3 linked regions of the Oryctolagus cuniculus genome follow. The protein of the gene in region 3 purifies or fractionates together with the protein of the main gene of each other region. This does not show direct contact. Links are inferred from orthologs where the notes say so. Each region holds a gene or a part of one and is shown on either strand. Other genes may lie near its edges. The genes, in order: PPP6C, ANKRD44 and PPP6R1.

Region 1 (3,937 bases), on a different chromosome or scaffold from region 3:
CTTGAAAAAAAAATTTTCTAAAAATTCAGACAACCTTCAAGTTATAGACTCTCTCCTCCAAAAGTACTTACATATTCAGCAAACTAGACTTTTAGTATATGTGCTGCCAAAGCGAGCACCAAACTAGACTTTTATCACTCCTTCTTTCACTTAGCAACTTATGAAATCTAAACCATCTATTGAGCTCTGTTGTCCACTCACTCTCAGGTACTTTATTCTTATTCCCTCAAAACAGGCAGATTCGACCTGGTACTAGTATTTTGACCATTTCAAATTCAGTTATAAAGAACTTGTTATCACACCTGAACATCCTATGTATTTATTATTTAATGTTGCACCTCTAACTTCTAATAAACTTAAAATACAAATAAAAATTTACTTTCCTTTCTACCCAAACAAGTCTCTTCCATCATGTTCATTAAGTGGCCCCAATTAATTCTTTCCATCCTCTAACAGAATATTTTCTACTGACTTGAAAGCATCAAAGGTGCTCCTAGAGTATTTTTTGGTCTGCCTATTTTTAGTTTGTACTTCATGCCAAGAAAAAGAAACATAAATTAAATTTCTTTAAATACTCTGGAGGTGCCGGCGCCGCGGCTCACTAGGTTAATCCTCCGCCTTGCGGCACCGGCACACCGGGTTCTAGTCCCAGTTGGGGTGCCGGATTCTGTCCCGGTTGCCCCCCTTCCAGGCCAGCTCTCTGCATGGCCCGGGAGTGCAGTGGAGGATGGCCCAAGTGCTTGGGCCCTGCACCCGCACGGGAGACCAGGAAAAGCACCTGGCTCCTGGCTTCGGATCAGCGTGATGCGCCGGCCACAGCGCACCAGCCGTGGCGGCCATTGGAGGGTTGGAGGGTGAACCAACGGCAAAAGGAAGACCTTTCTCTCTGTCTCTCTCTCTCACTGTCCACTCTGCCTGTCAAAAAAAAAAAAAGAAAGAAAAAAAAAATTTTCCAAAACAGAAGTCTCTAACAGAGAAAAATCCAGAATTTAAGTAGTTGCTCAGAAGATATAAAGTTTATTAAGAATCAGATGCAAATAAATACAGTCCAACTATGTTTCAACAGGAAATAAAATGGTTTAATAATTACTTCCTTCAGATAACGTTTAGCAGACTAAGAGATCTAAAGAAAATCCAACTGTTTTTCAAGTAATTTGTGTCCCACCTCAAGGTAATATCAAGACATATTTTCTGAAACTGAAATCACAAAGTACAAAACGGCTTTAAACATAACAAATGAAAACAGAATTCCACATCGATTCATTAACATGCAATGAATTCACCAAAAAGATGAACAATGCTACCAGCAGAGGCCTGGCCAGTTCTCCATGAACGGGTTCCCAATGCTGGCTACACAGCACGCGTCTGAAGCACTGGGAGCAGAAACACTACACTACCATTAATAAAAGCTGTCCTTAGTGAAGCTATCCTATTAAAAATGGGGGGGGGGGGGACGAGAGTGATTATCCCAGCATAAGCACATACAATTCATTTATATTCACATCAGGCCAGGGAACCTGAAAAATTTTGCATACTTGTTGAGTGAGGTTAAATATCAACTTCCGGTACCAAAGGATATAGCAAAAACACAAACACGGTCACATCTACTTTTGTAACTTTACAACCCACGGCTTAATGAAAGCATGAAAAGCACTCGAACCGTTTACAGCTTACCCACTTAGCACAGAGCCCATCAAAGTTAACAGAACAAATGAGACACCGGCACTAGCGGGTAACCGCTGCTGGAAACCCAAGCACTGGTTTCAACAAAGCACAGAAACGCTTTTCCAAAATTATCCGACCCCGACTCCTGCACCCACACACACAATCCCACCACTCGGGCAATAACAAGCAAAAAGTCACCTTCTTCCAAAAAGCCAAGAAGTGGGTTTCGGGGGCACGACTTCCAGGCGAGCAAGCTACTGGTATCTGCACACTTTACCCAACACCGCCACAGACCGGGATTCCCAGCTGAATTGGCACGAGAGCCAGCACGCCCAAGGAGCAATGTGGAGCGGCGTACGGAGGGACACGACGTCCTCTTACTCCGCTCGGGCCCCGCCGCCCCGCCGGACCTCAGCGACCCCGGGAGCCGGCCACCCGCGCTCCTGTCACCTCCGGGGAGCACCACCCGCTGGGGCTCGACTCCGGCTCCGGGGCTCGGCGCTGCGGCTGGGGAAGAGCGGGGTCTTCCCGGCGAAGCTGTAACGGCTCCGCGTCCAGGGGCAGCCCGCAGGCCAGGAGGGGCGACCCCGGAGGAGAGCCCGCGACAGCCCTCGGGATCCCCGGCGGGGGAAGCCAGGACAGCATCCGGGCACTCGGGCTCTCCCGTCTCCCCGCGTGACGCCGAGCCCGAGGGTCGCCTCCCACCGCGGAGGGCTCTCCACCGCGACAGGACTGGACACCCGGCAGGGGTCCCGCGGAGAGAGGAAGGGCGGACCGGCGGGCGCCCCACAGCCGGAAGGGGCGAGCCCCGCAAGCGGCACTCCCGCCCCGGCCGGGCTCACCTTCAGGTCGTTTTCTGGCAGGTACTTGCACAGCCGCGCTATCTCCACATACTTGTCCAGGTCTAGCGGCGCCATTTTAGGAGGAACAAGCCGCGGCGGCGGCGGCGGCGGCGGCGACGGTACTAGCGGCGGCAGCGGCGGAGGCCGAAGCCGGAACTCTCCCTACGTCACGTCCGGCCCGTGAGTGGCGTCTGCGCAGCGACGTTAAAGCTTGACCGGATTCTCCGCGCCGCCCCCGCACGTCCCGCGCCCTCGCTGACTGATCCCAGGCTGCAGCCCGAAGAGGTCCCCTCAATTCCGCCCGCGAAACCTGCTGGGACCCGTAGTTGCCTGCCGCGGGGGTTGCTGGGATTTGTAGTTTTCAGTTGGAGCCGGCTTCTCTTTTTCCTCCTCTTCCCGGTACTTCACCCCTGGAGACCCGGCAAGGCTTATCGGAGGCAAAACGGCGAAGTAGGTGACCTGAGCGTTCTGTGGCTTCTCGTTGCGACCCTTTTAGGCCCTCTCTCAACAGGACATCCTCAGTTAGAAATTGGGTAAGCCTGCCCGTAGTAGCCTGGTTGCGCCTTTCCAAGGTTTTGCAAAAACCTCGGTTAAACCTGTGGCGGAGAAGCCGAACTCCCAGTCGTCTGGTCTTGAGGATGAGAAAGGAAATGTCAAAGCGTTTCTTGTACCGGATGCCGCAAGGGTTCTTTTATTCTGTGTTTTCTTCCCCGCCCCACTCCCCTTCCCCCATTAATTCTCATGATTGCTGGGAAGGTAAGGCTTGGAGACCCTACGTAACTTGCCCCACATGTCACCGGAAACGAACGGTAGAGTCAACATTGGAAAACAGGTCAGCTGGCTTAAGCAGACCTCCGTGGGAGTCCCACGAGGGAGGGAGTTTAATGTTGTGTCCCCAACCGAGTAAGATCACCTGGCACTGAGTAGGCCTTCAGCATTCATTGAGGCATTCGTCATTCCGCAGCTGTTTACCAAACACCAGCCATGGGCCAGGTACAACTGCAGGCGCTTGGGATACGCAGTCAACACAGTAGACAAAGACGGGCGTCCACAGCCTGTGGTTGACAGCTAGGACGGGAAGACACCACGCTGCCATCAATGCATAGCGTTTGAGAAAGTGACGTGTGCTAGGGGAACAACGCGGCAGAGTAAGGACATGAACTTTGAAAGCCATCTAAGAAGTGGGGGAGTTGCCCATGCAGCTACCTGAGGGATATGATAGGGAGGAGCTGGTGCGGAGGCCCTGAGGTGGACGCCTATCTAAAGTCTTCGGGAAACAGCAAGATTTGTGTGGTTGGAGCAGAAGTGAGAGGAGTAGGAGAGATCAGAGAGAAAAGGAGAAGAATACTGTGTTTTTTTGTTTTGTTTTTTAAGGATTTATTTATTTGAAAGTCACAGTCACACACAGAAGGAGAGAGAGAGACAGTGAG
Region 2 (3,508 bases), on a different chromosome or scaffold from region 3:
CATGTTGGGGATGGAGCAGGGTACATGCTGGGTAAATGGGGCTGCAGAAACAAAACTACTAAGAGTTAGCTACTGATGGCAATATGGCTGCTTACTTCTGAGAAATAGGCATGAGCTGCTAATTCCAATACCTGTAATAAGCAGTTAATTGAGTTATATTAATACATTATAATGCTTTAATTAAATGCCACAATTAATGCCACATTTTTAAAAATCACTTAATTCATAAATATCCAGAAGTTCCTCTTTTGCTCCCCAAGGTTAATTAATAGGTGTTATGCTTAAATGGTAGCTTAGTACAATTCTAGGATTCATTAGTTTTCAAAATTTCTTAGGAAGCAGAGTAGAAAGCTTCTGTTAAGAATCAGCTCGTTTAGAAAAGAAGCATTATATAGATCAGGAGAAGCTTTCAAGCCTGGACACTAATTAAAATTTTTATTCATGTTCCCTAAATTTCCATACTGGGAATATGAGTTCTGATCTGGACTTTAAAAAAATGGTTTGATCTCAGAATGAATTGAAATACAATCAAAAACCTAGGTTTTTATCTGAGCCCTTGAGCATGCACTAATGACATGTGTAATCCCTAACTCTTCAGTGTATGCAGTTAGAATTCTGAATGCCAAGTTGGAAGTTTTTTTTATTTTAGTGAGTCTAAATGATTTTAACCACCACGCTGAGGAGTTAGAGACCAACTGCTGACACATGCAGAATGGATAGCACTGGTGGGCTATAGGTGGACCATGTGTTTTACAAAATGACAGACAGGACAAATTAACCTTGCTGGACTTCTCACACACATGGGACTTTCAAGAGGGAGAGAATTATTACTGCCTGTTCATAAGCTCCAACCTCTCTCATTTTCCTCTGGCTTCCATCGGCATATGGAAGACACAGGCAGTAATGTTTATTTTTTCCACTTACCATTTTCATCTACAGCAAGCACACAGGCTCCTTTGGCCAGCAACTCCTCGACTACCACCTTCAAGCCATTGCGTGCAGCAATGTGGAGGGGTCTAAAAAACACAGCATCAAGCATCACCTGGGACACATATTTGTGTGATATTGGGGCATTCTAGTTAGCCTATCCCACTAAAAGGAAGACTTAACAAGATATTTATACATACACTGCATCTCAATCCCAATGTCAGTAACAAGGAAGATAGAGAAAGAACACAGAACACACTGTATCGGGTTCTTGCTTGATTTCTGCCATAGCCTTGAATCATTGTGGCACACAGGACAGGCATAGACATTATCCATATATGTGCAGGTACTTAAAAAGTTCATGCAACAATAGAATTAAAAGACAAGCTTTTTTTTAACGTTTGAAAATTATTTGAGAAGTAGAGGAGAGAGGAAGAGACAGAGACTGACTCCCATCCATTTGTTCACTCTCCACATGCTCACAGCAGCCAGAGCTGGGGACAAATTCAAGAGCCAGGAACACAGTCTTGGTCTCCCACATGGGTGGCAGGAACCCAAATGCTTGAGCCATCACTGCTGTCTGCCAGCCTCCATGCTACCAGGAGTTAAGAGATTCAGCCAGGAATGGAACCCAGGCACTTTCATAATCATTAAACATTTGCTCTAATAAGCTTATTTTGGTACAAAAAAAAGTTAGAATATATGCACAGTTTTAAAATAACACACATATTCCATGAACTTTTTGAAGTACCCTTGTATATAATCTCAAATCTTATTATTACTAAAAGTACACAGATGTTTTACTGAATTCATAATACCTTAAAAAATAATGTTAACCTCTGCATACAGCACTATGTACTACCTAAGAATCTTAAATGGAAAAATAAATTCCTAATTGTCCTTTGTCTTTAAAACAAATGCATAAATAACTTTCTAGAATGGAAAATAAATCAGGTTTGAGATCTTTCACACCAAGGGTTACACTGAATCATATTAAAATATAATTGAGACAGGCCGGCGCCGCGGCTCACTAGACTAATCCTCCGCCTTGCGGCGCCGGCACACTGGGTTCTAGTCCCGGTCGGGGCGCCGGATTCTGTCCCGGTTGCCCCTCTTCCAGGCCAGCTCTCTGCTGTGGCCAGGGAGTGCAGTGGAGGATGGCCCAAGTGCTTGGGCCCTGCACCCCATGGGAGACCAGGAGAAGCACCTGGCTCCTGGCTTTGGATCAGCGTGATGCGCTGGCCGCAGCGCGCCAGCCGCGGTGGCCACTGGAGGGTGAACCAACGGCAAAGGAAGACCTTTCTCTCTGTCTCTCTCTCACTATCCACTCTGCCTGTCAAAAAGAAAAAAATATATATATGTATATATATATATATATATATAATTGAGACAAATAGCTTAGAAACTCTTCAAATGTATTCTGGGAACCTGATTTATAAAACTGTCATTTTCCAGTTAGAATACATAATGCTAATATATAATACTAATGTGTCCATAAGCCTATATGATTTTTCTAACAGTCTGCTAAAATTATATTACTATAGAAGTATCAGCAAAGAAAAACACAGACCTTAAAAAATGCTATGGCAGCGTATCAAAAAGAGGACTCTAAGCAAAACTGCCTAGCCAGGTAAACAACTGTGGGTGGGCAACGGTCAGCATCATGGAGAAAAATCCAGGTCTGCCTTTCTCACTGCTGTGCTCCCCTATGCTAGCCTGACACACAGCAGGCTCCTAATACTTCTCGAAACAATAACTATGACTCTGGGTTCAAGTAAGACTTTAAAAGTTACTTACGGCTGGTGCCACAGCTCAATAGGCTAAACCTCTGCCTTGCAGCACCGGCACACCGGGTTCTAGTCCCAGTCGGGGTGCCAGATTCTGTCCCGGTTGCCACTCTTCCAGGTCAGCTCTCTGCTGTGGCCCGGGAGTGCAGTGGAGGATGGCCCAAGTGCTTGGGCCCTGCACCCCATGGGAGACCAGGAGAACCACCTGGCTCCTGCCTTTGGATCAGCGCGGTGCGCCGGCCGCAGAGCACCAGTCATGGCGGCCATTGGAGGGTTAACCAACAGAAAAGGAAGACCTTTCTCTCTGTCTCTCTCTCTCACTGTCCACTCTGTCAAAAAAAATTTTTAAAAATAAGTAAATAAAGCCGGCGCCGCGGCTCACTAGGCTAATCCTCCACCTAGTGGCGCCGGCACACCGGGTTCTAGTCCCGGTTGGGGTGCCAGATTCTGTCCCGGTTGCCCCTCTTCCAGGCCAGCCCTCTGCTGTGGCCAGGGAGTGCAGTGGAGGATGACCCAGGTGCTTGGGCCCTGCACCCCATGGGAGACCAGGAAAAGCTCCTGCCATCCGATCAGCGCTGTGCGCCGGCCGCAGCGCGCCAGCCGCTGCGGCCATTGGAGGGTGAACCAACGGCAAAGGAAGACCTTTCTCTCTGTCTCTCTCTCTCACTGTTCACTCTGCCTGTCAAAAATAAATAAATAAATAAATAAATAAATAAAGTTAAGCTGGCTTTAAAAAAAAATAAGTAAATAAAAGTTACTTACGTGTGCAGTGCATTATTTTTTGCATTAATGAG
Region 3 (4,263 bases):
ACTTTCTACACATATCCTGGGGCCGGTGCTGTGGCCCAGCGGCTTAACACCCTGGCCTGAAGCGCCGGCATCCCAAATGGGCACCAGTTCAAGTCCCAGCTGCTCCTCTTCCAACCCAGCTCTCTGCTGTGGCCTAAGCAGTGAAGATGGCCCAAGTCCTTGGGCCCCTGCACCTGCGTGGGAGACCTGGAAGAAGCTCCTGGCCCCCGGCTTCGGATCCGCCCAGCTCCGGCCATTGTGGCCATCTGGGGAGTGAAGCAGCACATGGAAGACCTCTCTCTGTCTCTACCGCTCTCTCTAACTCTGTCAAATAAATAAAATAAACACATATCCTACAGCTCTGCTTCCTCTGGGGAGACATCACCTGCTCCAAGCTGCAAACAACAGGTACCCAAGTCCACTTTTTTAAAGATTTAATTATTTACTTGAAGGTCAGAGTTACAGAGAGAGAAGAGGCAGAGAGACAGAGAGGTCTTCCATCCATTGGTTCACTCCCCAGATGGCCACAATGGCCGGAGCTGCGCCGATCTGAAGCCAGGAGCCAGGAGCTTCCTCCAGGTCTCCCACGCTGGTGCAGGGGCCCAAGCACTTGGGCCATCCTCCACTGCTTTCCCAGGCCACAGCAGAGAGCTGGATGGGAACAGGAGCAGCCGGGATTCGAACCGGCGTCCATATGGGATGCTGGCGCTGCAGGCCAGGGCGTTAACCCTCTGCGACACAGCCCCGGCCCCGAGTCCACTTTCTAGGAAAACCTCCAGGGGCCAGCTTTGTGGCGCAGCCGGTTAGGCTGCCGCCTGCGGCGCCCGCATCCCATCCGGGCCCTGCACCCGCGTGGGAGACTGGAGGCTCCTGATTCCTGGCTTCGGCTCGGTCCGGCCCGGCCGTCAGGGCCATCTGGGGAGCGAACCACCGATGGATGGAAGACCTCCCTCCCTCTAACTCTTTCAAATAAGGTTTATTTATTCGAAAGGCATGGTGACCGAGAGACAGGTCTTCCGTCCGCTGGTTCACTCCCCTAATGGCCGCGACACAAGGTCAAAAGAGCCCTTGCAGACCGCGGTCTTCGAGGACGCGGGGACAGGGCCTGGGGAACGCCCGGGCACGGGTCAGCCGCAGCAGGAACCGGCTGTCGCCCGAGACCCGGGCAGCAGCGACGCGCCAGGGCTTGCGGGCACCGAAGACCCCGGAGGCAGCGCGAACAAGATGTCCGTGGGCCTGCGGTGGGGACTCCGGGACGCCGCCGGCCGGGCGCGCAGCGGCGCCTGCGCACTGGCGCGTCCGCGGTCACGCCGGAGGCCGTTGGCACCAACGGGCGCAGGCGCACCTGCGGCGGTGTTCCGGGGTGGGCGGGGCTCGGGCGGGGCGGGGGAGGGCGCCGGGGCCCGGGCGCACGCGCACTCGGGGCCCAGGCGCCATGTCCCCGGCGCACCTGCGCAGCGCGACGAGCGCGGGAGGGCGGGGCCTGTGCGTCTCCTGCGCTACGGGGATTGTGGGATAGTGGCGGAGGGAGGAGGGCGTCGGAGGCCCCGAGCGGGCTGCGGGAGCCGGGGAGACCCGCGGGTGTGCGGAAGCGGGTACTGAGAGAAGCGGGGCTCGGCTTCAACACTGCGGGCCCCTCGGACGGCGGCCGAAGCCGTTACCGCCTCCAGCAGCGCGCTGGGTTGGGCGGACGAAACCGGGGCGACTTCCTCCGTCTTCCCCTGCCGAGGCGCCTGCGCGGCCCGCGCGGCCCAGCTGACCCCCGCCGCCTCGCCCGTGGGCCGCGGAGGCCCCCGCGTCCTCCTCGCGAGCCGTCCGGACCCTCCTCGGCGCTGACCGCGAACTCCGCGGGACTCGACGCTTGAGGCCGCCCGCCCCGAGGGCGCGTGCGCGGGCCCCGCCGCCCCAGCCCCGGCGCCTGCGCGCGACCCCGCCGCCGCCCCCGCCCCCACACCCCGGGCCCCGGAGCAGGGACCGGAGCCTCGGGCGGCGGGGCGGCGGGGGCGCCCCGATGAGCCCCGAGTGCGAGGAGCCGCCGCCCCCCCGCGCAGGTGAGCGCCCCGGCTCCGAGTCTGCGTCCCCGGGTCCCCTCAGCCCCTGTCGCCGCTGGCTGTCCCAGGCCGCCGCCTGTCCCGCGCGCTGTCTGCTCCCCCTCGGGCCCCAGGTCGCCGGCTCTCCCCTCAGTTCTCCCAAGCGTTTTACTCTCTCTGGCTCCCAAGTCTCTCAGCCTCTCCTCGCGGTCCCCCAAGTCTCTTAGCCGCAGTCCCCCAAGTCGCCGGCTCTCCCCTCGGCCCCCCAGGTCTCAGCCTCTCCCTCGGTCCCCCCAAGCCTCTGGGTCCTGCTCACTTTCCCGCCATCCCCTTGGTCTCTCCTCTCGGTCCCCCCAGGTCTCAGCCTCTCCCCTCGGCCCCCCAGGTCTCAGCCTCTCCCCTCGGTCCCCCCAAGTCGCCGGCCCTCCTCTCGGCCCCCCAGGTCTCAGCCTCTCCCCTCGGTCCCCCCAAGCCTCTGGGTCCTGTTCACTTTCCCGCCATCCCCTTGGTCTCTCCCCTCGGTCCCCCCAAGTCGCCGGCCCTCCTCTCGGCCCCCCAGGTCTCAGCCTCTCCCCTCGATCCCCCCTGGTCTCAGCCTCTCCCCTCGGTCCCCCCTGGTCTCTGGCCCTCCCCTCGGCCCCCCCTGGTCTCTGGCCCTCCCCTCGGCCCCCCCAAGCCTCTGGGTCTTGTTCTCTTTCCCGCCGTCCCCTTGGTCTCTCCCCTCAGTCCCCCCAGGTCTCAGCCTTTCCCCTCGGTCCCCCCAAGTTCAGCCTCTCCCCTCGGCCCCCCAGGCCTCTGGGTCCTGTTCTCTTTCCCGCCATCCCCTGGGTCTCTCCCCTCGGCCCCCCCAAGCCTCTGGGTCCTGTCCTTCCCGCCATCCTCTGGGTCTCTCCCCTCAGTCCCCCCAAGTTCAGCCTCTCCCCTCGGCCCCCCAGGCCTCTGGGTCCTGTTCTCTTTCCCGCCATCCCCTGGGTCTCTCCCCTCGGCCCCCCCAAGCCTCTGGGTCCTGTCCTTCCCGCCATCCTCTGGGTCTCTCCCCTCAGTCCCCCCAAGTTCAGCCTCTGCCCTCAGCCCCCCAAGCCTCTGGATCTTGTTCTCTTTCCTGCCGTCCCCTGGGTCTCTCCCCTCAGTCCCCCCAGGTCTCAGCCTCTCCCCTCAGTCCCCCCAGGTCTCAGCCTCTCCCCTCGGTCCCCCCAGGTCTCAGCCTTTCCCCTCGGTCCCCCCAAGTTCAGCCTCTCCCCTCAGCCCCCCAAGCCTCTGGGTCCTGTTCTCTTTCCCGCCATCACCTGGGTCTCTCCCCTCTGTCCCCCCAAGTCGCCGGCCCTCGCCTCGGTCCCCCCAAGCCTCTGGGTCCTGCTCTCTTTCCCGCCATCCCCTGGGTCTCTCCCCTCGGTCCCCCCAGGTCTCAGCCTCTCCCCTCGGTCCCTCCAAGCCTCTGGGTCCTGTCCTCCTTCCCGCCATCCTCTGGGTCTCTCCCCTCAGTCCCCCCAAGTTCAGCCTCTGCCATCGGCCCCCCCCCAGGCCTCGGGTCCTGCTCGCTCTCCTGCCGCCCCCTGGGTCTCCCCCGTCTGCCCACACTTCCCCCAGGTCCGTCTGCTCAGTCATCCACGCCGGCTCCCTGCAGCCCTGCCCGGGCCCTGCCGCCGGGGCTGCCACCTCCCCGTTCACGCCTGGTCCTTTGCCCTCCGCCCCCGCCCGACCCCACCGCTGAGGCTTAGCCCCCGCCTGGAGCCTGCCTCTGCCCGGCTGTCTCGCTTCTCACGAGGAGGGACTTGGCTCCGGGCCTGTGAGCTGTGGCGTGGGCAGGCAGCCTGTCCCGGGCTCCCAAGAGGAAGGTGTCCCCAGGCCCTGCCCTGGGGAGACAGGTGTAGCGGGACTGTCACAATTGCTGTGTTGTGATGGGTGACGCAGCGCGCAGGACTGGTGAGACTGGCCGGATGGGAGGCTGAGCGGGGGCTGACACATGGAGGGCGGCAGGAGGCTCAGCCTTCCCCCCGGGAGGAGCGGCGCGTGCAGATACGTGAAGGTGACGGCCGCCGTGTGGCGGTGCTGCCCGGGCCCTTGCCAGCCCACCGGCGCGCGCACCTGCCCGGAAGGAGGAAGGTTCTGGAAGGGAAGCCGCGTTGTCTGTCCCGTCGGTGCTGGGCTCAGAGCCGTGAGATGCTGACCACGACGGGGAGAGGTGGACGTGGCGAGGAGTAGCCGGGGGCAGGTAGCTGGGTGCTGAGCGGACAGCGCGGTGGACATGTGCGCT

The links.
Region 1: the proteins of PPP6R1 (region 3) and PPP6C purify together in Homo sapiens (affinity purification with mass spectrometry; 11 studies listed by BioGRID and IntAct, with this or other methods). This does not show direct contact. The link is inferred for Oryctolagus cuniculus from reciprocal best matches to the Homo sapiens genes PPP6R1 and PPP6C.
Region 2: the proteins of PPP6R1 (region 3) and ANKRD44 purify together in Homo sapiens (co-immunoprecipitation; 5 studies listed by BioGRID and IntAct, counting the BioPlex papers as one, with this or other methods). This does not show direct contact. The link is inferred for Oryctolagus cuniculus from reciprocal best matches to the Homo sapiens genes PPP6R1 and ANKRD44.

What each region holds. Positions count from the first base shown.
Region 1 is NC_091432.1:229,001,644-229,005,580, forward strand, and holds the start of PPP6C (serine/threonine-protein phosphatase 6 catalytic subunit), read right to left. Parts: upstream 2,801-3,937; 5' UTR 2,583-2,800; coding exon 2,508-2,582; intron 2,437-2,507; exon of another isoform or gene 1,864-2,436; intron 1-1,863.
Region 2 is NC_091434.1:43,296,590-43,300,097, reverse strand, and holds part of ANKRD44 (serine/threonine-protein phosphatase 6 regulatory ankyrin repeat subunit B), read right to left. Parts: coding exon 3,477-3,508; intron 1,017-3,476; coding exon 925-1,016; intron 132-924; coding exon 96-131; coding exon of another isoform or gene 70-95; exon of another isoform or gene 26-69; intron 1-25. UniProt on the Homo sapiens protein: Putative regulatory subunit of protein phosphatase 6 (PP6) that may be involved in the recognition of phosphoprotein substrates.
Region 3 is NC_091449.1:3,632,027-3,636,289, forward strand, and holds the start of PPP6R1 (serine/threonine-protein phosphatase 6 regulatory subunit 1), read left to right. Parts: upstream 1-1,462; 5' UTR 1,463-2,030; intron 2,031-4,013; exon of another isoform or gene 4,014-4,035; intron 4,036-4,077; exon of another isoform or gene 4,078-4,221; intron 4,222-4,263. UniProt on the Homo sapiens protein: Regulatory subunit of protein phosphatase 6 (PP6). May function as a scaffolding PP6 subunit. Involved in the PP6-mediated dephosphorylation of NFKBIE opposing its degradation in response to TNF-alpha.